Lepisosteus oculatus: one gene and its partners. The main gene of each other region encodes a partner of the protein of the gene in region 2 in a complex. Links are inferred from orthologs where the notes say so. Each region holds a gene or a part of one and is shown on either strand. Other genes may lie near its edges. The genes, in order: gtf2e2, polr2eb, polr1c and gtf2h4.

What was found.
Region 1: polr2eb (region 2) and gtf2e2 share a complex: the UniProt entries of both Homo sapiens proteins name them as parts of the TBP-based Pol II pre-initiation complex. The link is inferred for Lepisosteus oculatus from reciprocal best matches to the Homo sapiens genes POLR2E and GTF2E2.
Region 3: polr2eb (region 2) and polr1c share a complex: the UniProt entries of both Homo sapiens proteins name them as parts of the pol I pre-initiation complex. The link is inferred for Lepisosteus oculatus from reciprocal best matches to the Homo sapiens genes POLR2E and POLR1C.
Region 4: polr2eb (region 2) and gtf2h4 share a complex: the UniProt entries of both Homo sapiens proteins name them as parts of the TBP-based Pol II pre-initiation complex. The link is inferred for Lepisosteus oculatus from reciprocal best matches to the Homo sapiens genes POLR2E and GTF2H4.

Annotation. Positions count from the first base shown.
Region 1 is NC_090696.1:69,245,647-69,253,365, reverse strand, and holds the start of gtf2e2 (transcription initiation factor IIE subunit beta), read right to left. Parts: upstream 3,136-7,719; 5' UTR 2,963-3,135; intron 1,631-2,962; 5' UTR 1,630-1,630; coding exon 1,470-1,629; intron 1-1,469. Other genes in the region: hgsnat (heparan-alpha-glucosaminide N-acetyltransferase), read left to right, coding at 4,704-4,929. UniProt on the Homo sapiens protein: Recruits TFIIH to the initiation complex and stimulates the RNA polymerase II C-terminal domain kinase and DNA-dependent ATPase activities of TFIIH. Both TFIIH and TFIIE are required for promoter clearance by RNA polymerase.
Region 2 is NC_090724.1:6,669,188-6,677,274, forward strand, and holds the start of polr2eb (DNA-directed RNA polymerases I, II, and III subunit RPABC1), read right to left. Parts: upstream 3,120-8,087; 5' UTR 2,999-3,119; coding exon 2,942-2,998; intron 2,729-2,941; coding exon 2,554-2,728; intron 2,071-2,553; coding exon 1,955-2,070; intron 1,464-1,954; coding exon 1,383-1,463; intron 624-1,382; coding exon 565-623; intron 1-564. UniProt on the Homo sapiens protein: DNA-dependent RNA polymerase catalyzes the transcription of DNA into RNA using the four ribonucleoside triphosphates as substrates.
Region 3 is NC_090712.1:17,543,042-17,551,234, forward strand, and holds the start of polr1c (DNA-directed RNA polymerases I and III subunit RPAC1), read right to left. Parts: upstream 3,119-8,193; 5' UTR 2,584-3,118; intron 2,312-2,583; 5' UTR 2,303-2,311; coding exon 2,183-2,302; intron 1,912-2,182; coding exon 1,840-1,911; intron 1,724-1,839; coding exon 1,616-1,723; intron 1,122-1,615; coding exon 989-1,121; intron 876-988; coding exon 756-875; intron 1-755. Other genes in the region: protein YIPF3, read left to right, coding at 3,459-3,530, 4,804-5,010, 5,645-5,751, 6,589-6,634, 7,684-7,776, 8,102-8,193. UniProt on the Homo sapiens protein: DNA-dependent RNA polymerase catalyzes the transcription of DNA into RNA using the four ribonucleoside triphosphates as substrates.
Region 4 is NC_090709.1:40,992,469-40,999,824, reverse strand, and holds the start of gtf2h4 (general transcription factor IIH subunit 4), read left to right. Parts: upstream 1-3,885; 5' UTR 3,886-3,927; intron 3,928-5,002; exon of another isoform or gene 5,003-5,014; intron 5,015-7,034; exon of another isoform or gene 7,035-7,356. Other genes in the region: uncharacterized protein, read left to right, coding at 1,163-1,300. UniProt on the Homo sapiens protein: Component of the general transcription and DNA repair factor IIH (TFIIH) core complex, which is involved in general and transcription-coupled nucleotide excision repair (NER) of damaged DNA and, when complexed to CAK, in RNA transcription by RNA polymerase II.

The DNA of each region.
Region 1 (7,719 bases), on a different chromosome or scaffold from region 2:
AAGGCAGTATTTTAAAACAATACTCACATTTAACATCCATACAAACTGTCATATAACGGCATGTTGATAATATGTTCGTGTAGATGATGGGCACAGAAATACATAAAGAAACTAGACCCCCTAAAGTGTGTGAATGAAGGTCTCCTGAATGGCTTATCTACTGTTACAAGGAGTATTTTAAAAGAGATGAAGACGCATCCCAGGACTTCCAGAACAAGACTGATCTAACCTAAGAAGTGGTAAGACTTCCCCAGTACACTGCCAGACTGCTAGTGTAGACTCTACCAGCTGAGAAGGCTGGAGTAACATGGGGAAGGAAACAAGACTACCAGACAACTGTGACACCTAGTGGCATGTTCATTTCAGAAGTGAGGAAGCCATAAGGCTTCCATAGTGAATGTCTTACAGCATGTCTCAGAGAAGGTGCCATTGCACCTTTCAGTCCAGCATAGGGCTTAAGTGATTTACAGAATAAAATAAAAACTAAGGTTATAAAAGTTAAAATAGAGGTCAAAAGGTAGAAAGATTTAAAAGCTTTTTCCAAGTACCCTGGAAAAGGAAACACAAACTGCTGGATCAATCCTGAGGACCCTCTTAACAAAGAAGAAAAACCTCTGCAAAGAAATATTAACATTTTTCCAAATTAAGATTTCAAATGTTCATTTTAACTATGAAGCTGAAATGTCAATTTAATCACTGTTAATGATTCTGTAGAACAAATGTTAATCCCACAGTATAATTACTGCAATTCTCTAATGATTCTTTGAATGACATAACACTACACGTAAGAAAGTTTACAAACGAGAAAACAAATTGCAGGTTTTGAGCCAAGCACACTACTGATTCAAAAATGAACAGTGGTGTTAAAGCAAGCAACAGCAGGCCACTCCTTCTCTGCAGCAAGCAAACTTATCACTGATTATCTCACAGCCCCAAATTACAAAGCTCTGCAACTGCCCTCATCCTAACTAATAATACCATCAGCACTAAATGTATATTTAATTTGTGAGATCTGACATTCAGAACCATTGAACTCACACCTTTAAGATTACGGGGCAGTACGTGTGATTGTACTTTCAACTGAACGGACTGAAAAAAATTATTTAACACCATGCATGATCTCATAAGCTGTGGTTATTGTTTTTTGGAAAGAAATATGATATTGTTGGTACATTAAGACTGTAGCAAGCTCATTATATTAAATACGTGCCCTACTGCACTAGTTGTGTCAAAAGCAGGAGACCCCTTGAGCAATATCCATAACATTTTTTTTTCTGCAAACAGCAGATCTCTGTAAAATGGGGCTCAACTCATGTTTTCCCAAAAAGGGTGACAGTGGCAGAACTGCAGCTCTGTTGGTGACATACTCCCACTGCGGCTGCCTGCCACCATGTCCACCATCCCTCGCCGAAAACAGCTACTGATAGTGAGAATCACAGCAACCGCTGTGATCATTAATGCGTACTGACCTGTCCCATGTTTGGATCCAGAGGAGCCCGCCTGGTCGTATTTGGCCTTCTTTTTCTTGGAGGATGAGGAGTCTGAAAAGGCTGGCCGCTTCTCCACTGCCGGCGTGGAAAGAGCTCGCTTTTTAAAGAGCTCCGTCTCGCGGAGCAGAGCCGGATCCATCCTGCCAGCACACAGAGTGAAGAAGAAAATACAGCCAGGTTCACCTCGGCCACACATAGGCAACACACACCACAAGCTACAACACCCACACAACTGCAGCAAATTAGTCTAGGCTATTATTCGAATTTACCAGCTTTACAATAAATCCAGGCCTTGTCCTGTCCAAATTCCCCCCCCCGGCCTTTACCAATCATGCCCTCCTGCTAATCCTCATCTATGAACTGACTTCATCACTCATTTCTCCTCCCCACTGATAGCTGGTGTGTGTTGAGTGTACTGGTGCACTATGGCTGCTGTCGCATCATCCAGGTGGGGCTGCACACTGGTGGTGGTGGAGGGGATCCCCAATACCTGTGAAGCTCTTTGAGTGGAGTGTCCAGAAAAGCACTATATAAGTGTAAGGAATCATTATTATACCCATTTCAGAACTTGAATGTGCTGATGACATGATATACATCTCACTGTTGATTGCTTCAAGCTCTTTATAGTCCTATATAGCATTTTTTGTCAGTGTAGAAAAGTTAGCGATCCTTCCCTTAGCAATTGAACTTTTTGACAGTATGAAACAAGAGCTAGTTTAGCTCATCCTAAACAGGCTAAAAAGGGGACATGAAAATAAAACAATTTCCTGCTACACGTTCACATGCCAACAAGTCTTATGAAACATTATGAAGCAATCCAGGCCATACAGATTAACCACATGATTACAAGAAACTATAATCGTCCGTGTAAATGTTATTCTTTTAACAAGCTCTTGTTAGAGAGGTATTTATGAAGTATGTATTGATATTTTAATTCCTACAGTGTATTTCTACCAAATGTGCGAAAGGATTATGTTGTATATCTGAACTGTCGTGGAATCAATTTTATACGTTGTTCTTACTTCTCTTCTTTGTTAGATTCCAATGATTGCTTTATCCCTAACGATCAAAACATTTTATAACTAATAACCAAAACAGACAGGTTTTTTTAAAAATATATCAGTTTTGGTCACTGGGAAATACATTGGTCTCCAAAATTCAGTCAGTAGTAATTATTTTATTCTACGCTCCAGTAATGTAGTTTCTCGTCACATTCGGAACATGACATGTTACCACCTTTTGTTACCAAAGCATATCGCCAAATAAACACCGATAGCATAAACCTAAGTCAATCTAACATTTCCGAATTCTTCACAACAATGTATATAACACTACCACCGGATCTGTTATTGTCACACAACAAACCCAGCACACCAGCAACTATTATTTACACGCTCACATCTACCAAAGCGTTACATAATGTGTTGTCGACTATGATCACATACAAAATCAAAATAAGAATTTTCCAGTACCTTGTCTCCAGCTGCTTCTACAGGGAGGGAAAATATAGTTTTATAAATAGTTTAAATTTTCAGCAAACGATATTCAGAAAAATTTAGTTTGCTCCATTATACACTCGACAGACACTGGCTGCCTGGAGGCGAGAGTGCGCTGCTTCCGAGTATCACCGTTCACACTCGACTCTCGACTAGCAGCGTCTGTTACGCACACAGGACTCACTGGATGACGTAATGTTGATCTCCGAGTCCAAGGAGAGGAAATATGGCCGCCCGGGCTGGCTTTTGTTTATGTGTGTATACGCGGACAACAGGACACTTTTTTTTGCATGTATAAATACAAAGATACATTGGGCGTGATATGAAAAATAAAATTGACTGGTTATTGGTCAAGGTTATTGTATTCCCAAAGGTTTGGAAACAGATTAATCCCATAATAACACAAGTCAGCATACTGTATAAATCTCAGAGATCTGGAAGGTCTGCCTTGAGTTTTTAACCTTCTTGAATATGTCACTATTAAAAAATATTTTTTTCAAGATTGTTTTACAAGGGCGTTATATGTTGTTATTATTTTCGAAATAACTGAACAATGATAATATGCGGTTTGAGATTTTTAATAGACGAGCATATTCACTCATTAACTACTAAATATTCTCACAAGGTTTACAATGAATATCATTTCAAAATAACCCAGACGTTATAACAGTGTTATATATACTTGTATTACAAAACACAGTTGTAGACTTTATCCCGTTAAATCTAATCATGACAGACTGTTTGACCCTCTGCCATCTGGAAAACGGTACCGGAGCATTCGGGGCCGGACTACCAGACTCAGAGACCGTTTTTATCTCCGCACCATCAAACAATTAAACTCCCAGCCTCTGTCACCTACGATCTGAACCCTCACAGTACCTTCTCACTTTATCAAAACTCAAACACACGTCAAGAAGCTCACTCCCCATAATTTTCTATTTCAGTAAATTTGATTTTGAGTAGATTAGAGCAATAACTTTCCTAGATTTAATGTATTTACAAATTACTTTTAAGGAATTACATAACCTAAAGGCGACTTCAAAGAAGACTTTTTTAAGAGACGTATTATTAAGTAACGCACGCAGCTGTACACCTTAATAAAGGACTGATTGCTTAATCCACCAAAAACAATACAGACAGGAGCCCTTATTCAAAACATCTTACAGTGATATACAACAAATACAATGCATATACAGCATTAAGTCCAACTAATTCGTGACCACACGCATGTCAAGACGCTTTTTCACATTGATAAAGTAACCAGTGTCTATCTAAATCGACTGGTATAGATATTTGCTGTCGGTTGATCTGTATGGTGTTGCAGTTCTATCGGATACATTCATTTTACAAACGCTGTGATTTATTCCTTTTACCGGACTCAGTCAAAACTGGCGAGGGTTTATCGCTGTCGCTGTTTCAGTCCACAGTTCAGACTAATTCAAAGTACACGTTTTAAAAATAATTCACATTTGCCACACTATGGGATATAAGTGATTATTAAACCAACGGTTCACTACGTGATATTTTCCATTCCTCTGGTTGGATAAACCAGGCTACTGTCATCGTGCAAGTGGGTTTTAGTTTTTACATAAAGCCAAACGCGGGCTAAAATATAATTTGTTTGAAATAGCATATACGGGAATATCAGGAAAGTCATCCTAATCACTGCCTAAACTTTGTATCTGATCGTACTTTGTCCCTCTTCTCTCCCCCTAGTATGGTGTCAAAAAATAACAAAAAGGAGGGGTCGGAAGTGTCAGTCATGAAAACCGAAAGACATATTAAAAAAAGAAAACTGAAGGGTGGTAGAGCTAGTGTGGGAGAAGACTCAAAATCTGTAAAAATGGCCAGTTCGACTGATGGTAAGCAAAGGACGGTGATTTTGTCTGCAATCACTGCGCTCCTCGCCCTCTGCGTGGCTCCTCTCGCCGCTCAACTCGATGGTGAGTAATTTATTCCGTAGCTAAGATTAACAGGACATGTAAAACTCACATCAAGACCTCCCGAAAGTGCATTTACCGAACTTTAGAAAATTGGAGGGGAGACACATAACAGCAGAGCTCATTCAGCTGAAATAGGCTGTGATTTAACAGTTATTCGAAGAATGTGTAATGCACAACCGCATGTTTACCTACATTAAGTTGAAAGAAAATCTGTTTTTTTTTTTCATAGTTGCAGTGAGCTTTTGTCTACCGTAGTGGACCTGGAAAATAAGAAATGAGTCTGAAAAGACGCGTATTTCAGAAATAAAAGTTTGAACACTGAGTTGTTCAGATTTAAAGCTGACGTCTTTATTCAAACGGTAGATCTCCTGGTCTGTCCCTGAATATTGTCTGTCTCCATTGCAGATTAGAACTGACCTTAAAACAAAACAAAAATGGTCAAATGAAAAAAGTAAACTGATATAAACTGTATCCCTTGTATCACATGGAATATTGATTATATGATTTGAGATGCATTTACTTCAGCAACCTCGTTTTTCTCATTATATTTTAAGCAGACGAAAGGGTTGAAAAGAATAATTCCCCTTGGGAATTACCGTATATTTGCACATTTTTAGGCATAAGTATTAATTGTTTTTACGTCTCGGGTGACGTTCAGAAAGTTTGTACAGTCAGGTTCTGTATCTTACGTTAGTTATTTGACAGATCTTTAAAAGTACCACTACCGCTTGCCAAGATGAACAATTTTTAAATTAACTACACAGAGCATTGTTAAAATTAAACACAGGCCTGTTGTTGTCAAATATAGTTGTATCATATTTATATTTTATTTTTTCTTATTGGAAATGGAGTGTTTCAGTACATTATGTTTACATTATGTATTGTAGTACATTATGTATGTAAAAGCTGATTTAATTCATGCATTTATCTAAACTTTTTTTATAATTTATGTATACAGTTTAAACCATAGGTAGACAGGTCTAGTCACCAAAATACACTTGAGTCCTATAGGTTTTTATTCCAGATTTTTATATTTTCTAACTGCTTCCATTTCAGAGTCGGGGGGTGCCAGATTCTATTTCGCAGTTACAGACATCCCAACTTTGGAAAAATTGATTTCAGGGAGAGGGGTCATCCCTGCTGTGAAAAATTGCGGTTTGGGGTGGGGGGACGTGTATATATGCCATACACTATCAATACTATAACTCACTAGTCCATTTGGGTTGTACAGAGATGCGGCTTCTTTAGCAAATTTGAGAAAAAAATTGGGAGTGGGCTGGGGGGAGGCGATTTCCGGGAAATTATGGATCATTTGGGGGAGTCAGGGAAGAGATGCTGATTTCCAGGAGACTCCCGGAACGTCTTGGGATGTCTGCAAGTAGTGGGCACAAGTTGGGGTACACCGTGGACGGCACACTAGCCCATCTCAGGGCACAGACACACACAGACTTGCACACAGTCACATAAGAGTGAGTGTTTGTAGAATCCAGTTAACCTACCAGTTTGACTTTGGGCTGTGGACAGAGACCAGAGCACCTGGAGGAAACCCATGTGAAATGAGCGACAATATACAAACTCCACACAGCACCCAAGCTCCAGAATTGAACCCAGGGCCAAAAATATTGTAAAAACTAAAGTGCAATAGTGAGACCTGGAAACTATGTAAACATGTTTTGAACAATGAGAACAGACGACACATATTTACGCAAAGGTTATGGCTGGATGTGATCCTTGGCAACCAAGCAAGCTCAATGGCTTGAATGGTCTTATCTTGTTTGTTACCTTTCTTACATACTTATCATGGGTTTTTTTTAAATGTTACTCAATTGCTACTTCTAGAAGTGTCCGTTAGAACTTACAGGACTCCGAACCTCTAGGAATGGAATTGACTGACTCAGGTTTATGACATGTAATGAATGTGTTATTTAAAGTCTGTCGTTTAACAAAACAAGCCTTTATCATTTTCTGCTGCAATCCTGTCACCAATGAGGGTTCAGCTATGAGGGATTTTTGCTGAATTACTGGTATAAAATTGTGTGTTTCAGCAATGGGAAGGCCTTATTTTTCAAATACAATATTACATTTTAATTTCTTAAAATATATCTAAAGATTGTTCTTCTTTATGTCTCCAAATCGAAGGAACAGATAGTTAAAAGATTGATCCTTTTTTTTTGTAAATTAGAACTCGTCCACATCCGCTGTCAGGTCAGATTCTGGACTACTATAGCTTCTCCGCTGCCACATTTTCTCACACAAGGCTTCTTAAGACATTGAACTAATCAGGGACATTGCCTTGCTTGCAGAGCTACATTAAGGCATGTGACAACTGTGCGTGTAACTAGGCTGGAACCCCAGAAGCAGTTTGTTACAGAAGTGCCGTTGTGATGCAGAGACAAAGGGGGGAGAAGGCAGGCCAGCAGCAACACAAAACCTAACAATGCGAAACCTGTGATCGGAACTAGCGTTGGTAGAGCTTGAAGATTTTGGCAAGATTGAGAATTCTTTCAGTGTTGTCTGGAAATCGAATTAAGCTCTGGTACACTGTTTGTGTACTCAAGCTTGAATAATTTAAGTTTAATTATCCGTTCTGTATGAATGTTCATAAACATAATTTTATTTTAAACCAGTATATTTATGTTATGCAGGGAGTATGTATGTGGGAAAAACAGAATTCTCTCTCTCTTCAGGGAACCATATGCTTTAACATGGGTAAAAAAACATATTTTATTAAAGGAGAGTTATAACCGTACACTACTGGCTGCTTGATTGTCCTTTTGTATGATGTTTCAT
Region 2 (8,087 bases):
CGGCAAGGCAGCAATGCTAACTGCTGCACCACTGTTAATAAGATAGGATCACTTTATTGGGGCCATATACCATTTCTTGTATTAGGAATTTGTCTTTTCGCGGACCCCAGCTTGCGCTCCATGAGAGCAAGTTGCATAGAACACTGGCCTTGCAGAGTCTCTAATGGACCTGCGCAGTGAGCTTCACATAGAGCTGCTGCACGAGAGGCTCTGCTGCCCATCGTGTAGAGCCTAGTATTAAGAGCAAAGGTCCGAGGCAGCAGAACACACAGTAGGAGTGTTCAGTGTCGCCTTATACCTGAGCAGGATGACCTGGACGTCCACTCTAAAGGTCACAGGACACCAGTACAGTGTACAGAGAACAGGGGTTAAGTATTGAGGCAAAGCAGTGCTAATTAGCAGAGTCTAAGAGACAGACTTCTGTGGCGATTTGTATGTTTTGCGATATTGTCAGGCACAACTCCCAGAACATCCAGAAGACAACGTTCTCTGCTTTTCTCGGAACAGCACACGGTGAGCCGAGTGTGAAAAAGACATGTGGGTCAAACCGCGCGAGAAGGATACTATCGAGCCAGCAGCTCCGTCACCTCTTCTTTAGTCATCACTATGTGCTCTGGAACCAGCTGCAAGACAAGCAGAAGGGAAACCAGCTCATAGTCCTGACAGCACAGCAGAACAAGAAAACACAGCACTAGCAAAATCAAACAGCTCCGAACCCCGTTTTCTTACACTTCCTTTGTTCCGTTATATAAACACGTATGATTTTTTTTCCCTGCACTTGATAATCCAAAAGGTACACAACTGTAAATAATACACGTCTCTTATTGAACCTCATGCAATTTTACTCAGGAGTTCTTTTCAAGCAACCCAGAGTGCTGTACAACGGCATACATATAATAAACAGCAGAAACGAAAAGAAATATTTAGAAGAACACATTAGGGGTCACAGGACGTGGGGCATTGCAGTTGTGCAAGATACGACTTGCACAAGATACTTCACTCAGACCGCTCTTGTAAAACACCCTCCTGTACAAATTGGCACAAAAGCAGCTTTGGCTAAAAGCATCGGCCAGTTCATAACTACATTTATCCCCGTCAAGAGACAAATGTGATATCTGCAGTTATTAACTTAAAAATAATAGAGATCAAAGTCTCTTCCAGTTACAAATAAGAGGAGGCCATTCTGCAAGGTCTAATCTGTACAGTTTTTAGTAGCTAAATGACTGACGGATCTCGTCCAGCTGTTTTGTGAAAGAAACCATGGCGACAGCTTCAACAATAAGGCTGGGTAGCTTGTTCCAGAGTTCCACAGTGCTGTTGGCAGTGGGGGCAGCCGCAGCTCTGGGGCCAGCTCGCCATGCCTGCGCTGAAGCTCTCCTCACCTCGTGTTCTGTGATGTTGATGAGCAGCTCCTGCTGGAGAAACTGCTCCAGGATGTACTTGGGGGCCATGTCTACCAGCGACTGGAGAAGGACAGGAAACAATGCAGCTGAAACACCACACCACCGTCAAAACCTTCCCCCCTGCCCCCTCTAGTGGGCACTGTGTGCTTCTTTTACTCACACGATGGGTACAAGTCTCAGATCACCGATGTCATCCTTCATTGGAAACAAAGCTTGTGTCACCTTGGGCTTACAGTTTCTACAACGTTACTGCACTTTATTCATGTTCGCTGTTTTCATCTCCCGCTTAACTCTGCGTGTTCACTGAATGAGAAGTCTTGCTAATTTAAATTAACTTCCATCCCTTATTCTGCTAAAAAATATCAACCTCTATCGATCTAAATATATAACTGCATGTGGACTTGAAAGGATCTTATGTCCTCACCTCACAGTGCGAATGTTGCAGCAGGTTAAACATGTTATGTTGGTTTAACGGAGGATCAGGTGAAAGTGAACATGGCTAACTGCGAGGTTTGAGCGATACTGGGGGGTTTTTAAGGGGGGGGTTGTACCTGTTTGGCAGAGGGTGTCATGCCCATTTGCACCACGATGATTGCTCGTGTGATGTTCTCCTCCTGCATGCGCTGACAGTACATCTTAATAGTCTTGATGCCAACTTTGGGCTCCTCTGTGGAAAGAGCACATGTGCCTGGTCATTCTCCAAGTAAAAAGAGGCTCTTCTGAAGTTAACACTGGACGAGATCTGAGACCCCCCCTTATACATGCCAGAGATTCTGAGGGTTCAATTACAGTTAAAGTCCTGTGGACAGTTTACTGAACACATGCAAAGTCCCTGGGGCCAGCGATAGCTTCTGGTGCAGCTGTGCTGAGGAGTTCTCCACTGAGTGTGGATCCCCTAGGATGTGCTGCACAGTTTGTTCCATCTCCCAGGCACACAGAGGGCTGAACGAGAAGTCAGCAAGGCATGGACCCTGACGGCTCCCAGAGTGATTAAGATCGAACACGAAGTTTCTAAACGTTGGCTATGTCGCCAACACTTGCATGTCAGAATATTTGACTGTTGCCTGATGATCTGCTTGGCAAACGTTGGTTTAGACGTACGTGGCGCGACTATGTGTACATGTGGGTGTGAAGCACTCCGAACTCCCACCTGGGAAAAAGACGAACATCTGGTCAGTGGGGTCATCGTTGTGAGCCACCAGCACGGTGAGGTCCGTCCGGCGGGGGCGGCCTTCGCTGGGCTTGTCCCCGAACTGGCTCTTGAACTCCTCCAGGGTCTGATCCAGCTCGTCCTGGGTCACCAGGTAACCCCGGTCATGACACAGCTAGAAGGCGATCCACACAGCAGCCGTCACCACGGGCTGAGAAATACCTTTTTTTTTTAATCTTTGAAAAAACTTTTTTTTTATGGTACAATTCCGAGATCGTGAAAGGGGCTAGACGTGTCCCACGGAAGAGCTACACGCGAACACCGGCGCATACCCAAATTATCTTCTTTTTTTTTTACGGAAAGAATAAATGACTCGCTCCATTCTTACCTGCATGATAGTTTTCCTGATTTTCCATAATCTGTATGTCTCCTCCTCATCATCCATTGTACGTTGTTTTCAGAAGAAACAGAAAAAAACTTCAATCGCTCTCCTCCAACACGCTTCCTCCTTTCGCGCAAACAAGCTGACTTCCGTCGCTCCGTCGCCACAATGGACCCCTTGCTGGCATCCAAGCATTTGCCTGTAATTTTCACCATCAGCTTTCGTACTTATCTGAGAATATATTTAAATCGTATTATTCTTAAATAATAGCACTACGTTTTTGACAATTAGATCAGTAAATCGCTTATGACCTATTTTAGAAGCCCATTTGAGCCAAAAGGTGCTATTAGCTATTATTTCCACGTACTACTGAGTTCTCCATTTTTTTAAGGTCCAATAAAGACCTAAAATAATCGTTCAACATGGTGTTAGGGTGTTAGTGGGGCCAGCAGGGGGCGCTCACCCTGCGGCTCATGTGGGTCCTAATGCCCCAGTATAGTGACGGTGGTGGTGGAGGGGAGACCCTATTACCTTTAAAGCGCTTTGAGTGGAGTGTCCAGAAAAGCGCTATATAAGTGTAAGCAATTATTATTATTATTATTATTATTATTATACTGTAAACAGGCGCCGTCCTTCGGATGAGACGTAAAATCGAGGTCCTGACTCTCTGTGGTCATTAAAAATCCCAGGGTGTTTCTCCAAAAGAGTAGGGGTGTAACCCCGGCGTACTGGCCAAATTTCCCATCGGCCTTTACCAATCATGGCCTCCTAATAATCCCCCTCTATGAATTGGCTTCATTACTCTGCTCTTCTCCCCACTGATAGCTGATGTGTGGTGAGTGTTCTGGCGCACTATGGCTGCCGTCGCATCATCCAGGTGGGGCTGCATATTGGTGGTGGTGGAGGGGAGTCCCCATTACCTGGAAAGCGCTTTGAACTGCTGCCATTTTGGCTCGGGGACAGCGCTAGTTTCTGCGCGTCCCTTTGGAGAGGAACTAGGTCCAAAATGGCCACCCCAGTGAGGCAGTTGCTTGAACCGGAAATAGCCCAAGACCCCAACGTCTTCTTTCCGGGGCGGGCCCTGGCCGGGAGAGTTAAGTCTCCGTGGGGCGATGCAGATAGTTACACGGTCTCTGTGTTTCGGACTGGTGGCGAGCAGAGCGATTGTACGAGCTATGGTAAGGCATTCGCGTTCTGTTTGTAATCTGATTGCCTGTGTGATTATCTGTCTCTTTGCTTGGTCCTACACTTCGTTGCTTTCGAAGTCGATATTTTTAGATACGCTGAGTCAGTAAGCAGTACTTTTTTGAAGAAGATCAGTGAAGCTTCGTACGGTCATTTTCTGTCACTGTAGGGTTTGCAATACTCGTGACTGTTAAACTATTAAGTAATGATATTGGTGCGCACTAGCCTAATTCTTCCAGGTGGATGCTGCACATTGGCGGCGGTGGTGGAGGGGGTGTCCCCATTACCTATAAAGCGCCTTGGAGGAGTGTCCTGAAAAGCGTTATATAAGTGTAAACAATTATTAATTAATTATTATAATTCTGGCAATACACACGCCTAATACTATAAGACATGAATCACGTCAGTGCACTAAATATCCTTTATTATTGGTTCCCCGTCATTCTGCACATGACGGAAACTGCGGTGTCGAGAGCAGGTGGCGACAGTATTGTGAGAACTGGGCTTTACTGCTGTGCTGCTTTTCAGGCAGACGGTGGAGCGGGCCTTCATTGGTGTTTTCTGCCGAAACCTCTGTCGCTCGCCTCATGATTGTAAAGATCTTGGGAGTCTGTTTGGGTAGGTTGTGTGTAATCCGCAGGATGGTGATGCACCATGAATGCTGCGTGCGATTTAGAAACCGCAAGGCAGCAAAAACAAACAAAAAAACTTAACAACAATGCGGGAAGAGCCTTGTCCTTAAAAATCTTTTTATTGCTTAAAATCGCACCTGTATTATTAACATACGTCATTGTAGCAATGAATCAAGTTTAATTAGGACTGTGATGATCTTTCTGTCTCAATCCATGATTTAAAAACGTCATTTAACGACAATAAACGCGACAAGTACGATTATATTACATTAGAAAGGCGGTTTTGGGCGATTTAACTATCAAGTAACAGAATGAGTTACAGATTATTCGATCTGTAACTCATTCTATCTTGCGTGCATACAGTGACCCGTGATTTCTCCTTCTACTGCTTCTCAGTGCGCCCTTTGGTTCATTTACAAGCCCTTACCAATCGCACAAATGAAGACCTGCCTCAAATATCAGGCTCTCGAGAGGCAGAATAGCTTTGCTGCCCAGAGACTCTTCGATTCTAATCCAACTGCTGCAAAACAAATGGCATGATCAGAGCTGTGGGCTTTGCTCCTAGCCCTGACAAACGAGTGGAACAGGAGAGCATTGTGAGAAGCGCTTCATTTGCATAGAGTCAATAGCTCTCAGAAAACTGATTTATTTATTCCGCCAGCGCGCGCGCGCCCTCGCCCTGACGTCAGCTCAGTCGCGCGCTTGACCACGGCTGTTCTCTGCAGGCCGAGAGCGTGCGTGTGCGTGGGGCAAAAGTCAGTGTTTGGAGTCTGCCATCAATTAACCCCCTCTACATTTACGGTTCTATTACTCCCACCCCCACCCCCTCTAGTAACTGAATAAATGTCTCAAAAGAAGGCCAAGCTGTTTTGAAACGCCTATTAAATTAAATTTTCGTTTAAAGACGGACATCAGAGGTTGCCCTGCAGTTGCCAGTTACACACACACACATATGTGTTTAAAGATAATTGGCTTCCTTGTCTTTCTGGGCACGCTTATGAAGTGTGTAAGAACTCGTGTCTTGGTTAGGCGGTAGAAACCGTTTTAGCCCTGCGGTTGATACTAAACTGGTTTTCGTGTCCTGCTGGTGCGAGTTCCCCTTGTTCAAGCGTGTGTTTGTGTGGACGACTCGGTGAAATCTGACAGTGGTTTAAGCGTCCGTTACCCCAGAAACGTTTAAAAGGGGTTTGCGAGGCTCTGGTTTTCTCGGGTCACGAAGATGTAATTTTCTCAGTTACACGCAGGCAGCCTCCGATCTTGGAATTTTTCAGTCTTCAGCTGTGTTGCAAGCTTATTGCATGTTTGCTTAACTTTCCTTCAGTATTAATAGCAGCAGTAGGCTTGGTGTAATTGCAGAACTGTGTGTGTGTGGGTCTTGGGCAACTGAGAAGTGTCACAGAGTGGAAGAAACCTCAAGTTTCAGGGACAGACTGAAAAAACATTTTTATTCTCTGCAGTTTTAAAGCTTAGTGTTTGTGGCGCTTGCAAACAACCGAGATGACTTTTTTTAAAAAAAACAAAAGGATGTGCAAATAAACTGCATTGCAGCTGGTTTAGATTTAATATTAAAAATGAACTAGAGGAATTCAGGTTGAGACTCTCTCAAGTCTATGCCAGCTGTGCCTTTATGTTGGATTTGAACCTGCAATCCTCTTGTCAGGAATCCAGAGTCTTAACTACACCTTTGCCCCAGTACGTCTAGCATGAGATCCTATGAAAATACTTTTTATAACAAGGAGCAATCCATATCCTTCCCCAAAACTACCCAGGATGCAGAATGCTAAACATTTGCTCTTCGTTATGACACCAGTGCGGCTACAAGCCAAGGAAATGCATCATGATGGAAGAGCATTGAAAACTAAAAATGGGAGAAAGGGTTGTAGGAGTGTTGGACATGCTACCCGGCCATGTTGTTGAAGCTGATGCCCTGCTAATTTCAGGAAACAGTTGGGAGAGATCCTCGGATCGATTACCTGCTGATTACCAGATGAACTGGATCTGCTGAATGCCCTTCTCTTTTTTTGTAACCTTTCTTATTCATCCACCACTTTTTCTAACCACTTCATCCAATTCAGGAGGTCCAGGTACCCCCCTAGACAGGACGCCAGCCCATCGCAGGACACACCCCGACACGCACACACTCACACCAGGGCCCAGTCAGTTGACCTCCCACTCCGTGTGAAATGTGGCGAGAGATCGGAGCCCCCAGAGGGAACCCACTTCAACACACGGAGAACGTGCAAACTCCACGCAGACGGCAAACTCCCAGGAATTGAACCCAGGGCCCCAGCAGTGTGACACAGCACTGCTGACACCTGCGCCACTGTGCTGCCCTTCCTTTTCTTATTCTGCCACGCCATGTGGTACAGCTGAATGTGCCACAGCATCTCTTACACAATGGAGTTTCAATATCGATAATGATGGATCGGCTTGGAATGGGCATCTGTGCTGCTCAGAAGGGAGACGGGATGTTCTAAGGTAACAGGACATGACTGTGAGCACGAGAGTATTTCACAGGCAGGTTCTGGATAGGTAGACTTCTCGAGAGAAGCCGGCCCAACTGCAGGAGGCCAGCTGTGGCTGAAACAGGCTTTCAGGAAGAAGCGAGGAAGCATTTTGACTCTTTAGTCCAATTCCGAAATATCCCCAAGAGCCTGTCTGCTTCCTCAGTGCTCACATGATTGGATTTTTTTCCCCCCATTTTCTCAGAACGCGAATGTGAGACGTGGAGACGTCTTGCTCTCCAGTGTGCGTTTGTGGGTGTGGTCTTGTCAAGTCAGCGCTGTCCAGTGTTATTTAGTGTTGGGACATCTTCCTAAATATGTATTGTAACCTTTGTCCTCGGTTCCAGCAAGCTTTATGACTTGTAATGTGTTTATCTTGAGGCTGTCATGGGCACAGGAAGATAACAGTATCTTTTCTTATGTTTTGCTCGCTGAACTGCTTGGATCCTCTGCAGTTACATGGGTTTAGTCCACACACAGTGCAGGACATTGATCAGCTCTATCAGCTGGGCGAATCCGGTTTGAAGTGGTGACTAATGCGGAGCTGTATGGATGGGCAGGGTCCAGAATAAAACGGGTTGAGCTGGGGATTTCTTTGAGTCAGCTGTGGCTCCTTGGACTAATCGAATTTACTGCTGCGTTAGTAGCTGTAAATCCAGGACTGTCATGCCTTGCCTGAGACGGGTGGCACTGCTCTGCGTGCTCCTTCAGAGTGTGGTAAGACACTGCAGCTCTGCGGACCAGAGACTGGGATGAAAGTGTCGCATTCCCGTGGACGGAGTGCTTTCTCCCACACGGGAAAGGGTTTCCTCTGGGACTGAACGGCTCTTG
Region 3 (8,193 bases), on a different chromosome or scaffold from region 2:
TCTTAAGGCCCCTGGAAAAATAGAGAAGGAAACACTTCTTAACGAGTCACACGTTCTGCATAATACGTTATCCATGTCAGGAGTTCTAAGTCCATATTTCAGAGAGAATCTGGTCTCTTAGTCTTTCCATTCTAATGGAGGTCTTAATGACTTAAGCCAATAGATCTCTGCTTGCTTGGTAGGCCTTTTTCTTAAGAATGTTTTCAGCTCTGAGAGAACTGTATGGCTACTGTAATTAGCAACATTCCTATATCAATTTCTGGACTCTCCTCATTCGAGTGCCTGGGACCTAAGAACTTAGATTTCTGCAGAACAAGGACTGATGAGGGTGTATGGTACAGTGTATCTGGACATCATTAGTCACCTTTTAAGAGCGGTTTAGACTGAAATAAGGGTTGTTAGATTTCATGATGATAACACTTCTGCTGGAGGGTATTTTCAAAACAAAAAACTGAGTGCAGGGTTAGCATAAAACAAATTAAGCAAGTTCAATTCAAAGGATCTATTAGCTAAAGGAATCAATATTTCAGCTGAAAAAATGACAAGGCTGTGAACCACTAATCAATCTTGATATTTTTAACAGTCTCCAATTGGAAAGACTGCATGTACAGTAAACTGCTTTTGTTAGTTATAGCACATTAGGAGCTGCTAACCAATGCTTCCTTCCTCAGTTAAGGGCATGTTGCAGTTATCTCTTCTTTCCAGCTACTCCATGCTCTTGACTCAAGAGTCCAGATGTAAATAACAAAACATACCCATGTGGTTAATGTAGAGTTCACTGGGATCAGAGGAATCTTTGCTAGCTCTTGGATTTCTGGTGCACTTGATCTTTAGTTGCAGTTGAATTGTGTCAATATCTGTGCCTTCTTCATCCCCTGTGCAAACATATGAAAACAGTTTCCACATCATTTCTCTCAGGATAAAATGCAGCTTGTACTGAGAGACGGCTGTAACTTCCACTACAGAGGCCAACGATGATTCTGCTCACCTGCATTCCGGTACTCAAAAAGACGAGGGTCTGCTTTGATGGGGATCAGTCCCAGTCGATGTGCCAGAATCTCATCCTGGACAATGGATGTGTTGTTGTACACAAACACTTTCTCTATAGCCATCGTGGGAACCTTAGCAAAGACAGCATTACAGAATTAAGTAATAGGTTTATTCCATGCTGAAAAAAAGAAGAAAGAGAACACAACGTTTCGGCCGTGGAGCCTTCTTCAGGTGTCAGTCTTAATTACAGAATTAAGCCTGGGCTATTCCAAGCAATGGGTCAGGTTTTTTCAGATAACTGAAAATAAGCACTCTGCAACAACACCCACAGCCTGAAACAGGTTTTCACGAAACTATCTTGAGCCACCATGAAGTGTGCATTTAAATTTGCAGCTACGGTCACCTTAAGGTTTTATTTTAATATTACTTTTTATTTTCCTGTAAGTACATCATACAAGCTAAGGAATATTCAACAGTCATTGGTCCACACAATTCAAAAAGAAAATAGACTTAAGTAGAATTTACCAGCTAAAAAGATATACGTAGAATAGGAAAAATTATAATAGTACACATTTTATTTTATTTTTTTTTAATTGAGAGCCTGTTATTTTCGGGCGATATTTACCTCTGCTAGTAAGATTCGACGGAATGCATTAGCGATAGCAGCGTCAATGCCCACCATGTCGAACTCCAGCGTATTTTCATCCATTCGAATCACGTCGATTCTAAACTTCTGTAAAATAAAAATACTCGCGTTGCTTGAAACACATGATAAACAAAAGCGCAGGGAACCTCTTCCATGAGCAACAGCTACTGACAGCAAAGATTACAGCCGAGTTTTATCTTTACCTCTTCAAATTTTTTCCGGTTCCAGGTGTCATCGTACCCGGGATAATTACCAGGGAAGTCTGTCGTATGAACCTTTGAAGAAAAGACATTTAATTACCCCTTATCCCAAAACAAGTTATGTATTTTACAACACGCTTTACATTGTAAGAGAGAAATTGTAAACGAGTCTGCCTCATAAACAGTGTGCGTATCTGGAAAAGCGGTTACTTAACTGTCGTCGGCATAGAATTGTACACATGACACAACAAACTTTCTTACGACAATAATAATACGTTTTTATTTGTACTATCTCATAGCCTATGAGGAACCAGCATCTCTCCACCACCTAGAAACAAGCACTCACATTTCGGACCCCAAACTCGCCCAGAATCACACGATCGCGAATCTCTTCCACGTTGCTCCTGGGCGCCGCCATTTCTGCACACTGTTGATTTTCCTGTTCTTCAACGTCATTTCCGCTCATCGAGCTGTGCTTTGCAATAAAAAATATAACTGTCAAGTTGAGAACTCCTGACAATGCAGTTCCGTTATTTAATGATAAACTTTACTTTTATTTAACTGACACTAAATTCTTAAAAAAAGAATCAGTATTGCAATTATATATTATATTATTGTAACTCACAGTACCCTAGTATGTTTTATTTCCTTCATGGTCGAGCTCATGCCAGGAACCCTGCAACTCACACCTGGCAACGAACCCACTGAAACTAAGCAGGAGGTCTTAGCTGTGAGCCTGGTCAGTACCTGGATGGGAGAGCTCCCGGGAAAAACTAAGGCTGCTGCTGGAAGATGTTGTTAGTGGACGCGTGCGTTCCACGGCGGTCATGCACTATCGCCTGCAATAATTAAGATAATTAAGGCATATAAAAGGCGGCTGTTTAATCTGTCTAGCTATTTTTTGTTAATAGTAGCTAATCGAACTCTACTGGAGCTCGTCTAGATGTTTCTTTAAAGAAGGGAGGATAAGGGCTTCGACAGCGTGGCTGGGTAGCTGGTGTCCACACTCCCACAACTCTTTGTGTAAGAACATGCCTATTGCTCTTGATTTGGAGCTAAAAACTGTAGATAGCGCGCCTGACACTTTTCGTTCTGATGCATAGCTCAGCGCTGTTCATTTATATGAAATAAAGCGGAAAAAAGAAGCAGATTTTGCCTATATTTCAGGGGAAACTGCCGGACCTCTTGCAAGCACCAATACAAAAAAAAAAAAAGATAGTTCAAGTAGGTCGCAAAGGAACAATCCCATGCTGTAAAGAGAAGAAAAGAAACACAACGTTTCGGCTGTGGAGCCTTCTTCCGGCGTCAAGGAGAAGAAGGCCCCACATCCGAAACGTTGCGTTTCTTTTCTTCTCTTTCCAGCCCGGGAATAAACCTTCACTTGTTCCTGTGCAAACACACACACACGAAACAAGAGCTGAAGTCACGTTCGCGTCTCGCGAGAGGTCCCGCGAGCTCCACGTCTCCAGGCCTGGGTGTGCTTCCTGGTGGCCGAGAGCGAGCAGCGGCGCCGAGCTGGGGGTCTCGCCGAGCGACTTTTCTCCTGCCTTTGTGCGAGCATATTCAGTCTTAGCATATAAGGGCTCCGTCCCCGCAAGAGTGACAGTCCTGCGTGTCCGAAGATGTCCGCGCCGGGAGGAAATAAGAGCACCAACAGCGAGGCTTGGGGCAGCTTCGATGACAACCTGATTCAGGTAAACAAGAGCGACTCTCTCTCTCTCCTGACACTTCGGAGATAATACCGTCCCTTCTAGTTAAAACACCGCTCCTTCTTTCTACTAGCGCAGCCAGCGTTAGTTAAGACAAAAAAAACAATCGTCTGTACCAGCGATGAACAAAAAGCGTCGCCGAATATCGTAACAAAACGATTAAAAATAAATTCCAGTCACCACTACCCTTTCATCAGCTTTTGTTGTTGTTGTTGTTGTTGTTGTTGTTGTTGTTGTTTTTTGCTGACGTTTTCTACATTCCTGTAAGTCTTCCTATCCTTTTGTTTTCACAAGGTGGAGACGTTTTCACCAGTGTCTTGAGATTGTTGTGTGTTTAGAATTTGCTGCCTTGTGGATAATAGGTGTTGTTTCGGTTGTTTTGAAACGGACTCAGTTTTTGTATTCGCTTTAATCGATGCCTTTTGTGAACAGTTTCATGAATGGCTTGATATTTGGAGAACAGTCCAGTTTTAGGTGAAAGTGCTGGTAGCTCAATAAAATGCCAAATGTCCTGCAATTTTCAGCTCCAGCACGTCTGCTGTAGCTCCTGGGTAGCTCCGCCCAGTAATGTGGTAAGATATTGAGAAACACAACACAAATTGGATTGCTGTAGGAGTACACATGTACAGACTCAGTGGCCACAGCCTGGACATAGAAAGTGGATACAGGCAGACCTGGCTGTCCAGAGAGGACAGGCTCAGAGGCCACAGCCTGGACATAGAAAGTGGATACAGGCAGACCTGGCTGTCCAGAGAGGACAGGCTCAGTGGCCACAGCCTGGACATAGAAAGTGGATACAGGCGGACCTGGCTGTCCAGAGAGGACAGGCTCAGTGACCACAGCCTGGCCCTAGAAAGTGGATACAGGCGGACCTGGCTGTCCAGAGAGGACAGGCTCAGTGACCACAGCCTGGCCCTAGAAAGTGGACACAGGCAGCGCTGGCTGTCCAGAGAGGACAGGTGGTGCTTTCACTGCCAGTGGGAAGAAGCCGAGACAAAGATGCACTTTCTGCTGCACTGAGAGAAATACTCTGGGATTAGTTGGACATTCTTCTCAAAATAACAAATCTAATCCCAGAATCCCCACGCCTGGCAGAATCAGAACAGCCCGAGGAGCTGAGAGTGAGCTGCCTCACAACAGTGTTTTATGTGATGGGTGTAAAAGTTCTGTGGTGCTGTAAATGTCTGTTTTTGTCGTGGCCGACCCGGTCATCTGCGGGGACCGGGTTGACCAGCCTGCCCCGTGCGTGGTGCGCCAGCAGGGCGGGGGCTCGGCCGTGATCGACATGGAGAACATGGACGACACGTCGGGCTCCAGCTTCGAGGACATGGGCGAGATGCACCAGCGCATGAAGGAGGAGGAGGAGGTGACGGAGGAGGCGGCCGCCACGGAGGAGGGCGAGGACGGAGAGTTCCTGGGCATGAAGGGCTTCCGGGGGCAGCTGGGCCGGCAGGTGGCTGACGAGGTCAGTGGGTGGGGCCCGCCGAGTACGGGGCTCCGGGGCCGAGCCAAGATCCTGGGCCCTGACGCGCAGACCAGCCGTCGTGCAGCACAGCGCCACGCGTCTTTATTCATTTCCACATGTCCCCTCGCACAGACGTTTCCAAGTGCTGTCGGGGCTTGGTGTTAGATGAAAGCGCCCTTAAAAGCGAGAGCAGGGGCCAGTTCTTTACACAAAGAGTTGGGGGGAGTGTGGAACAAGCTGCCCAGACATGTGCTTGAAGCCAGCGCTTTGGGGCTTCAAGATCATGAAGATCATTGGATTCATTCACGACTAACAGTATGGCTAGACGGACTAAATGGCCTCCTCTCGTCTGTCGCCTGTGTTCAGACCGCTGATGAGTCCTCTGTTCTGTAGCTGCTTTGATTGCGATCTGTAGAATTTAATCTACCCGCCCGCAGAAAACTGGGCCAATTAAAAAGGAGCTTAATTTCTTTCGTTTACTTTTGACATTGCAATCCTTTAGAATTTGTTTGGATTGCTCCCACATTTGTACAGGAACTGAAAGAATGGGAAAGAAGGAACCTTTGGCTCCGAGCAGCCAGGTGAGGGGCTGGAGGCGTGAAGAGGCTTATGTGTTGTTTTCCTTTCCGCCTAGGTGTGGCAGGCAGGGAAGAGGCAGGCCTCGAAGGCTTTTAACCTGTATGCCAACATCGACATCCTCAGACCCTACTTTGACGTTGAGCCCGTTCAAGTCAGGAACAGGTAAGGAATGTGAGGATACAGCGTTCTGTCTGTGTTAGAAATGCAGTGGAGTTCTCCCTTCTGATCTGGCTCTACAAAAACACGTACAGTAGGGTTGCGACCTCTGCGAATTTAACATTGACGAATTTGCTTGTTCCGTGATTCGGTCTGGCTGACAAAGTCTTGGATGGAAGAAGAGCAGAGCGGGATGAAACTGAGCTGAAGGTTAAGCACAACTCTCAAACCAGCTGCACAACAGACCAGGATTGTGAGATGCATCTAGCTAGTGCGTGAGCCTCCCCCTGCCCCCTGCCCTCGTACCCCCTACCCAGCACCCGCGCCTCAGCGTGGTCCTGTTTCTCTACAGTAACAAACACTCCAGGGTCTGTGTCAGCAGTGTGGGGAATGACAGGCTGGAGACACAAGCTCACTGACAGGTTTACTGCTCTTCTCAAGCACAGCCCGGATTCATGTTGTTTATTTTGTCCGATTAATGTACGTTTATGATCTCTGTTGTTGTTTGTTTTTGTTGATCGATATTATTCTAATTAACTTCAAACCAATGCATTAGTACTTTAAATATCCTATAAGGAAGGATTTGTTATGTCTTTTAACCCCACATACAAAATGTTGTAGTATATTATGCAATAGTATAGGAGTGAATTTGGTTATAAGCGAATTTGGCTATTCATGACAGTTTTCTGTACCAAACCCTAGCGAATGTCCAGACTCTACTGTAAATGTAATCTTTACTAAGACAAATAGTTGTTTTTCACTCTAGGGTAATTCTGTTGGCAGAACGTTGTCATTGAAGTATTTGAAATTAGTTTTCTTATTCACTCCATTACTGTCTTCCAGGTTGATAGAATCATTGATTCCTGTAAGAATGATTAACTTTCCACAGGTAAGTGGCACTGCTATGATTCCCCGAAACTTTGTACTTTTTAACAGAGAGTAATGTTCTCTAATATTAAGAAACGTAAGTGTCGCAGTTGTTTCTTTACATTTTCTGCTCAAAAACGGGATGGCGTACAGTAAATAATGGCAAAAAATAAAGAGACAAAGATTGAACTAGATTTGTGGCCATTATAAACTGTTTTGGATTTTTCTTTTTTGCATTCAAAGTAGCAGTTAGCCCCCGATTTCTGTCCATTTTCAGTGTAGAAACTGATACCATGACTAAACTGAGTATGGCTGTTTCTTTATAGTTTCTGGAAATAATAATGACAATTAAGGATATGGAAATGGGATTCTAGGAGCTAATGTGTTGTAACCGAGTAGCTGGAGTTTCAGAATTAGGATAAGTCAAGACACTCCAGATACTCAGAAAATGTCTAATAGGTCCGCACATAACCTTATTGGGGTATTGGCAGCACCTGCTGGGAGCAGGTTTTCCCTATATGAGGGTTCAGTGAGTCTACAGTGGTTTGAGTTAGACCCTCACCGTCAGGGGGACAGTGAGAAACAGCCTTACGGGGAGACTCCTGACTGAGTAAAACACCCCGCAAGGGAGCTGGGTTCAGCAGCAACCCCGCAGGGCATCGGGGTGTCTGCTGTCTGCCTGGGTCTGAAGGGGAGACTCGTCTAGTGTGTTGTGTGCCGTCTGGCATCATCAGTCATGCAGTAAGACTCCCGAGTTCGCACCGTCTCTCAGTGAGACTGTGATTAATAGAACCTTGTGGTGAGGTTAAGGCTGCTGGTTACAGTTCTAATCTCCAGGCGGGACCTGAGGTGACAGGTTATTAATCTCGCAGTGAGACTTTAGGCTGCAGTGTTATCAAGAGCTGGGGAAGGCTCTTCATAACCAACCGTCTCAGTCGTTCTGTCGGCCTGCTGGTAAAAAGAAGGCAATGAGAGCAGAGAGTTCATTTTTTGCATGTTCTGTACTATATTTTCAGAGTAATGCACATTTGTAACTGCAGGGTTTGATTTCTTTATCTTTCTCCTAACTAGAAAATTGCTGGGGAGCTGTATGGGCCCTTGATGCTGGTGTTCACTTTGGTTGCGATTTTGCTGCATGGAATGAAGACATCTGGAACTGTCATTGTAAGCTTTCCAAACCTTGCAGAATTGCAAAAATGCTAAAAATCAAAGAGGCACATAGTTTCATGGCAGCCCAGAGGATCTTTTTCAGTGTCGTTTCAGTGTGGAGTATGAACTCCAGCAGTGCCAGTAATCACTGGTATTTAATGATTTCTCTGAAGGACCAGATTTAAAACGCATATCTCTTAAATGTAATGGTGATCATTTCAACAGATTCTGCTTTTTTTTAATCCAAAGAGACAGAAAGAGTTAAGTAGCTCTGTTTATTAGTAAAGCCCTGCCAACTAGTCTGTTTTTAACATACAAACACCTTGTTGCCACCTGACAGAGAGAGGGCACCTTGATGGGCACAGCCATTGGCACCTGTTTTGGCTACTGGCTCGGTGTTGCTTCCTTCATCTATTTCCTGGCCTACCTGTC
Region 4 (7,356 bases), on a different chromosome or scaffold from region 2:
TTTATGCTTCACACAATAACAACATTCGCAATACAAACAGGAGCACGTCTAACAAGTCAAGACGGAAAAAGACCGTCGGGGGTTGCACAGGACTACATCAATTCGAGCTATGAAAAAAAGATGAAACACCTTCAATAAAAATAACGTTCAGATGTGTGCACTTGGAAATTGTCTGCGAATACCCCCCTTACCTCCGGTTTAAAATGCTCCAACACAGGGGTCTTCCCGGACCACCTCATTTCATGCATATAATAACGTGCCGTTATAATACTTAAAAATTTATTACAAACGACGCAGGCAGCGTGAGTACTTACTTGAGTACTTGTCGTATGAGTACTTTACTAAAAGCGTTATTTCTCCTGTTATTGGGCGCGCTTGAAAGCCGGTCGTGTGACCCGGCCGGCGGTGGTGTTATTGCCGCCAGCGATGGCTGTCTTGCAATGTCGCGGTGCTGGTGAGTGTATGTCCTGTGATGGACTGGTGTCCTGTCCAGGGTGTGTGAGTGTGTGTGTGAGTCCTGTGATGGACTGGTGTCCTGTCCAGGGTGTGTGTGTGTGTGTCCTGTGATGGACTGGTGTCCTGTCCAGGGTGTGTGTGTGTGTGTCCTGTGATGGAGTGGTGTCCTGTCCAGGGTGTGTGTGTGTGTGTGTGTGTGTGTGTGTGTGTGTGTGTGTGTGTGTGTGTGTGTGTCCTGTGATGGACTGGTGTCCTGTCCAGGGTGTGTGTGTGTGTGTCCTGTGATGGACTGGTGTCCTGTCCAGGGTGTGTGTGTGTGTGTCCTGTGATGGACTGGTGTCCTGTCCAGGGTGTGTGAGTGTGTGTGTGTCCTGTGATGGACTGGTGTCCTGTCCAGGGTGTGTGAGTGTGTGTGTGTGCCCTGTGATGGACTGCTGTCCTGTCCAGGGTGTGTGAGTGTGTGTGTGTGTGTGTGTGTGTGTGTGTGTGTGTGTGTGTGTGTGTCCTGTGATGGACTGGTGTCCTGTCCAGGGTGTGTGAGTGTGTGTGTGTGCCCTGTGATGGACTGCTGTCCTGTCCAGGGTGTGTGTGTGCCCTGTGATGGACTGCTGTCCATCACTGTCCATGGACTGAGTCTGAGCGGCGGTAAGGACCGGGCGGTCTTTCTCACGCCCCGGGTGTGTGTGTGTGTCTCCTCTCCTCGCAGGGAGACGCCGGGGCGACGGACTACGCCGCCGTGGAGGTGCCGGTGCTGAGGGGGCGCCCGCGTCCCGGGCCAGCGCCGCCGCCCCCGGGTCTCTACTCGGAGATCTCCTGCCTGCCCGGAGAGGGGGGGCGGGTGTGACTCGGGTCGGGGGGGGAGGAGAGAGAGACTGTCCTGCAGGTCCGAGCCCCGGAGAGAGAGAGGTGGGGGCGAAACATTCTTCTACCTACAGCACTTGGGAGGAATAGAATCATTGTTAAAAGATCGTGAGGTTTTTTTTGTTTGTTTGTTTGTTTCAAGTACAACGAAATCTTTTTGAAACCGTTCATAGGAACGAGGACTGTGCAGGAGAGGCGGGGGCGGCTGGCTCTTTTCCAGTCTCCATCATCTCCCTCTTCCTCCGGGGGGACCGGACCGGACTGGACTGGACCGGACCGGACCGGCGCTTTAGAACCAAACAAAACACACAAAAAAGGGGGGTTTTGAGGTTCGGAAGAAGCGCTCGGGTGAAGAAGGAGACACGGAGGGGAGGGAGAGACTGTGGGGACAGAGGAGCTGGTGTCCGTGTCTCTGCAGGTTTAAAAACGTGCGTGTTTTTTTTGTCTTGCTGGGCCGTGACAGTAGGGGCCCGGGGTCAGTGGGGGTCAGCTCGCGCTGCCGTCTCGGGCGGCTGTGTGGGAGGAGCGCAGACCAGGCCCCTCGCCTCGCGCCGCTCCGGCTACCGCCCGCCCACGCGTGTGGTTTCACTGCGTGCGAGCACAAGACGCGCGTGTCGAGTTCACAGCTTTTAGGGAGTTGTTGTCGGTGTTTTTTTTTGTTGTTGTTTGTTTGTTTCCAGCAGCGTCTAGATCAATCGTATCGGTCTGTACAGACAGACGCGCCACATCCGGGGTAGCTGCGTGTCCGGCGCTATACACGGTGTGTCTGCCCCACGCCTGTTGGTAGCGGGGGCTGTGGGCTGCAGTTCCGCACCTCCCCCCCGCGCTAGATAATGAGCTCGTGTGGTGTGAGTCTGGGTGTCTGGGTGCTAGCAGCAACAGCAGCAGCACAGTGAGGCAGAGGTTCAACTGAGGCGCTGGGGTGTTGTCTGTGTGGAGTTTGCATGTTGTCCCCCCGACGCTATACTGGGGCAGCAAGACCCCACGCAGACCGCAGGGTGAGAGCGCCCCCTGCTGGCCCCACTCACACCTCTCCCAGCAGCAGCAGCCTCAGTTTTTCCCAGGAGTCTCCCCTCCAGGTACTGGCCGGGCTCACACACCTGCTGGGGCTCCAGTGGGGAGAGGGGGCTGCCCGGGGTGCGTTTCAAAATGCCTTATTTATGTAAAAAAAAAAACAATAACCGAAACGTTCACTTGGAGACCTGGAGCACGACACCTGGAGGCGAAAACTTCAATACTTCCGAATCCCGTGAAACGTTTGTACGTAATAAAATGTTTTTCAGTTTCGAAACAAAGACCCATTTGTGTCCAAATTTAAGCACGAGATGGAAGGATATCATCTTGTCCGTGATTTTCTTTCTCTTTGGGTGTGGTTTAACAGCCTCGGTAAACCTACAGTATTATTAATTAGCAGATAAGGACTTTCCGCGACACGGAAGACACGCCCCCTTAGTCTCGGGACTGGGCTCCTGATTGGCTCATGGAAGAGACCAGAGACGCTCCTGATTGGTTCACGGAGGAGACCACCGACGCTCCTGATTGGTTCACAGATAGGCGATGATGGACACTCCCGATTGGCTTACAGAGAACGCGGGAGAGGAGGAGACGGAGCCGTGACATTTTAAGGCATCTTTTCTACGAGTTGCAACCCTTCGGTCCCTTTAAAGAGGGCAGTTTCAGGGTCGAAACGAGGAGGCTCTCTAACGTGCGTTTCGGAAGAGACGGACCGCACCAGGGTTCAGAAATATCTAGTAAGCCGATCACTCCCGATAATGCCCTGTAGGAAACATTTACTGGTGTTTTTTTTTTAATTTAGGCTGTTCGTCACTTAGTTTAGAAACCCCGGCGCACTTTTCCACACCTCCTGGGCGAAACGAAAGGTTTCAGAAGCTGAGTTGTGGGGAAACGTATTTTCCTCCAAAAAATAGTCGGAAGTTTTCTAGGAATCGGTTACGCTCGTAAAGCGAAATGTTTCTTGGTTGGGTATCGAGTCGGAGGAGTTTCTCATAGCCCGAGGAGAGACGACTCATCGAGGAAAATCTCTCTTCGACTGTGAGTGAGACTGTGGTCGGACTTCCTGACGATCATGTCCTTACACCTGTTAAACCCCAAACGGATCGACGCAGTTTCAGTGCCTCAGGAAGGAGAGAAACCCGCAGACACCCTCCACTGAGCCCCTGAAAGGCGAGCAGAGATTCTCCGGATTGGTTCTCTGAAAGGTGACCAGAGGTGACCAGAGACACTGCTGATTGGTTCTCTGAAAGGTGACCAGAGACTCCTGATTGGTTCTCTGAAAGATGACCAGAGACACTCCTGATTGGTTCTCTGAAAGGTGACCAGAGACGCTCCTGATTGGTTCTCTGAAAGGTAAGCAGGGACACTGCTGATTGGTTCTTTGAAAAGGTGACCAGAGACTCCTGATTGGTTCTCTGAAAGATGACCAGAGACACTCCTGATTGGTTCTCTGAAAGGTGACCAGAGACGCTCCTGATTGGTTCTCTGAAAGGTAAGCAGGGACACTGCTGATTGGTTCTTTGAAAAGGTGACCAGAGACTCCTGATTGGTTCTCTGAAAGGTGACCAGAGACGCTCCTGATTGGTTCTCTGAAAGGTAAGCAGGGACACTGCTGATTGGTTCTTTGAAAAGGTGACCAGAGACACTCCTGATTGGTTCTCTGAAAGGTGACCAGAGACGCTGCTGATTGGTTCTCTGAAAGGTAAGCAGGGACACTGCTGATTGGTTCTTTGAAAAGGTGACCAGAGACTCCTGATTGGTTCTCTGAAAGGTGACCAGAGACACTCCTGATTGGTTCTCTGAAAGGTGACCAGAGACACTGCTGATTGGTTCTCTGAAAGGTAAGCAGGGGACGCTGCTGATTGGTTCTCTGAAAGGTGACCAGAGACACTGCTGATTGGTTCTCTGAAAGCTGACCAGAGACGCTGCTGATTGGTTCTCTGAAAGGTAAGCAGGGGACGCTGCTGATTGGTTCTCTGAAAGGTAAGCAGGGACACTGCTGATTGGTTCTTTGAAAAGGTGACCAGAGACTCCTGATTGGTTCTCTGAAAGGTGACCAGAGACACTACTGATTGGTTCTCTGAAAGGTGACCAGAGACACTACTGATTGGTTCTCTGAAAGGTGACCAGAGACACTGCTGATTGGTTCTCTGAAAGGTGACCAGAGACACTGCTGATTGGTTCTCTGAAAGGTGACCAGAGACGCTGCTGATTGGTTCTCTGAAAGATGACCAGAGACACTGCTGATTGGTTCTCTGAAAGATGACCAGAGACTCCTGATTGGTTCTCTGAAAGGTGACCAGAGACACTGCTGATTGGTTCTCTGAAAGGTAAGCAGGGGACGCTGCTGATTGGTTCTCTGAAAGGTAAGCAGGGGACGCTGCTGATTGGTTCTCTGAAAGGTGACCAGAGACACTGCTGATTGGTTCTCTGAAAGCTGACCAGAGACGCTGCTGATTGGTTCTCTGAAAGGTAAGCAGGGACACTGCTGATTGGTTCTTTGAAAAGGTGACCAGAGACTCCTGATTGGTTCTCTGAAAGCTGACCAGAGACACTGCTGATTGGTTCTCTGAAAGGTAAGCAGGGGACGCTCCTGATTGGTTCTCTGAAAGGTGACCAGAGACACTGCTGATTGGTTCTCTGAAAGGTAAGCAGGGGACACTGCTGATTGGTTCTCTGAAAGGTGACCACAGACAGTTTTGTTTTTGGGGCTATAAAAAAATAGGGGGGGGGGGGAAACAGACGTTTCTGATTGGAGCAGCGCCCGTCTCGGTGGGTCGACTGTCCCTCCTGAGCGCGGCCCGGCCGGGCAGGTAGATGTTGTTTTGTTTTCGCCGCCCACGCCTGCCCTGTTGTCTCACCCTCTCGGTGCCCCGCGGGGGCGTGAGAGCAGTCTGCGTGGAGGCGCGCTGTGGCTCTGTCACCCGGCCACACAGATTTCCATCGGAGGTCCCCCCCCCCGCGAGACGAGACGGTTACTGGCTGGTACCCGCGGTGTGGGTTTGGGCGCGTGGAAACAGCTCTCGCCGCTGTGTTGTTTCGACGCTTTTCGACGTAGATTCCTGCCTGCAGCTGCGGTACTGAGACAAGAACTATGCTGCCCTGGGTGTCTGTGTCTGCGTGTGTGTGTGTTCACGGTTTCCCCGATGCCCTGCGCGCCCAAGCCACGCGGGTTCCCAAACGGGATCTTTCCCAGCTCCGTAGAGACCCCGGGTCGTTTGCACAAAAACACACGTTGCAGTGGAAAAAAAAATACAGATCAAGGCAAAGACGATCAGCTTTTTTGTTTTTGCTGATGCGTCTGAGTGTGTAGGTGGGTACAAATGTAAGGGCCTGACACTGTCCAGCACTGGCGGGCTGTAGGAACTGAGTCTCTTCAGTCTGAAGGGAGTGTCCCGCACTGACAGGCTGCAGGAACTGAGTCTCTTTAGTCTAAAGGGAGTGTCCCCCACTGACAGGCTGAGGGAACTGAGTCTCTTCAGTCTGAAGGGAGCGTCCCGGACTGAGAGGCTGGAGGGACTGAGTCTCTTCAGTCTGAAGGGAGTGTCCCACACTGACAGGCTGCAGGAACTGAGTCTCTTCAGTCTGAAGGGAGTGTCCCGCACTGACAGGCTGGAGGAACTGAGTCTCTTTAGTCTGTAGGGAGTGTCCCACACTGACAGGCTGCAGGAACTGAGTCTCTTTAGTCTAAAGGGAGTGTCCCCCACTGACAGGCTGAGGGAACTGAGTCTCTTCAGTCTGAAGGGAGCGTCCCAGACTGAGAGGCTGGAGGGACTGAGTCTCTTCAGTCTGAAGGGAGTGTCCCACACTGACAGGCTGCAGGAACTGAGTCTCTTCAGTCTGTAGGGAGTGTCCCGCACTGACAGGCTGGAGGAACTGAGTCTCTTTAGTCTGTAGGGAGTGTCCCACACTGATAGGCCGGAGGAACTGAGTCTCTTTAGTCTGAAGGGAGCGTCCCGCACTGACAGGCTGGAGGGACTGAGTCTCTTTAGTCTGAAGGGAGCGTCCCACACTGACAGGCTGGAGGGACTGAGTCTCTTTAGTCTGAAGGGAGCGTCCCACACTGACAGGCTGAGGGAACTGAGTTTGTTTAGTCTGAAGGGAGTGTCCCACACTGACAGGCTGAGGGAACTGAGTCTCTTCAGTCTGAAGGGAGGGTCCCGCACTGACAGGCTGGAGGAACTGAGTCTCTTTAGTCTGAAGGGAGCGTCCCGCACTGAGAGGCTGGAGGGACTGAGTCTCTTTAGTCTGAAGGGAGTGTCCCGCACTGACAGGCTGCAGGAACTGAGTCTCTTTAGTCTGAAGGGAGCGTCCCGCACTGACAGGCCGGAGGAACTGAGTCTCTTTAGTCTGAAGGGAGTGTCCCACAGTGACGTGGTGAAGGAACTGAGTCTCTTTAGTCTGGAGGGAGTGCCCCACACTGACACGGTGAAGGAATCGCCTGTACACACTGTGTACCCTTTGTGTGCAGAAGAGCTTGTTCCCCACCCCCCACCACCCTCGGTGTCCTCGATGGCATAACACACCGACGGGGCGCTCTGAAAATTGCGGGGCCTTCGATTTGTCTAACGTCCCCGGTTTCTCCTCCTCTTTCTAAACCTCCCCCATGCCTTTACAATAACATTTACACTTGCTTAGTAACGGCGCCGCCACACCGCCTGCCTAGGGGGCGCCGGCGGGCGGTGGGAGGACTCGCGGGGGCGCCGCTCTTTCCTCGGCCGCCGAGCTCGTTGGTTGTTTTGGAGGGAGGCGGGGGCTGCGCTGACGTCACCGCTCCCTCGCCTGTCTGCGTGAGGCTCACAGAGGCGGGCGAGTCTTATAGTTTTATTTCACGGACGGGTGGGAAACTTCCTATCGGCCGCGTACTTTCTCCCCGCAAGACGTTCATGCGTGGGACGTTACGTGATCCCGGCTCTCTCTGGGAGGCGCCGTACGTGGCGGAGGATTAAAAACCAGGACCCCCAGCGAGGCGGCTGACGGACTCTGCTTTTTGTTTTTATTTTCTTACATCGTTTGAGTTGTCTT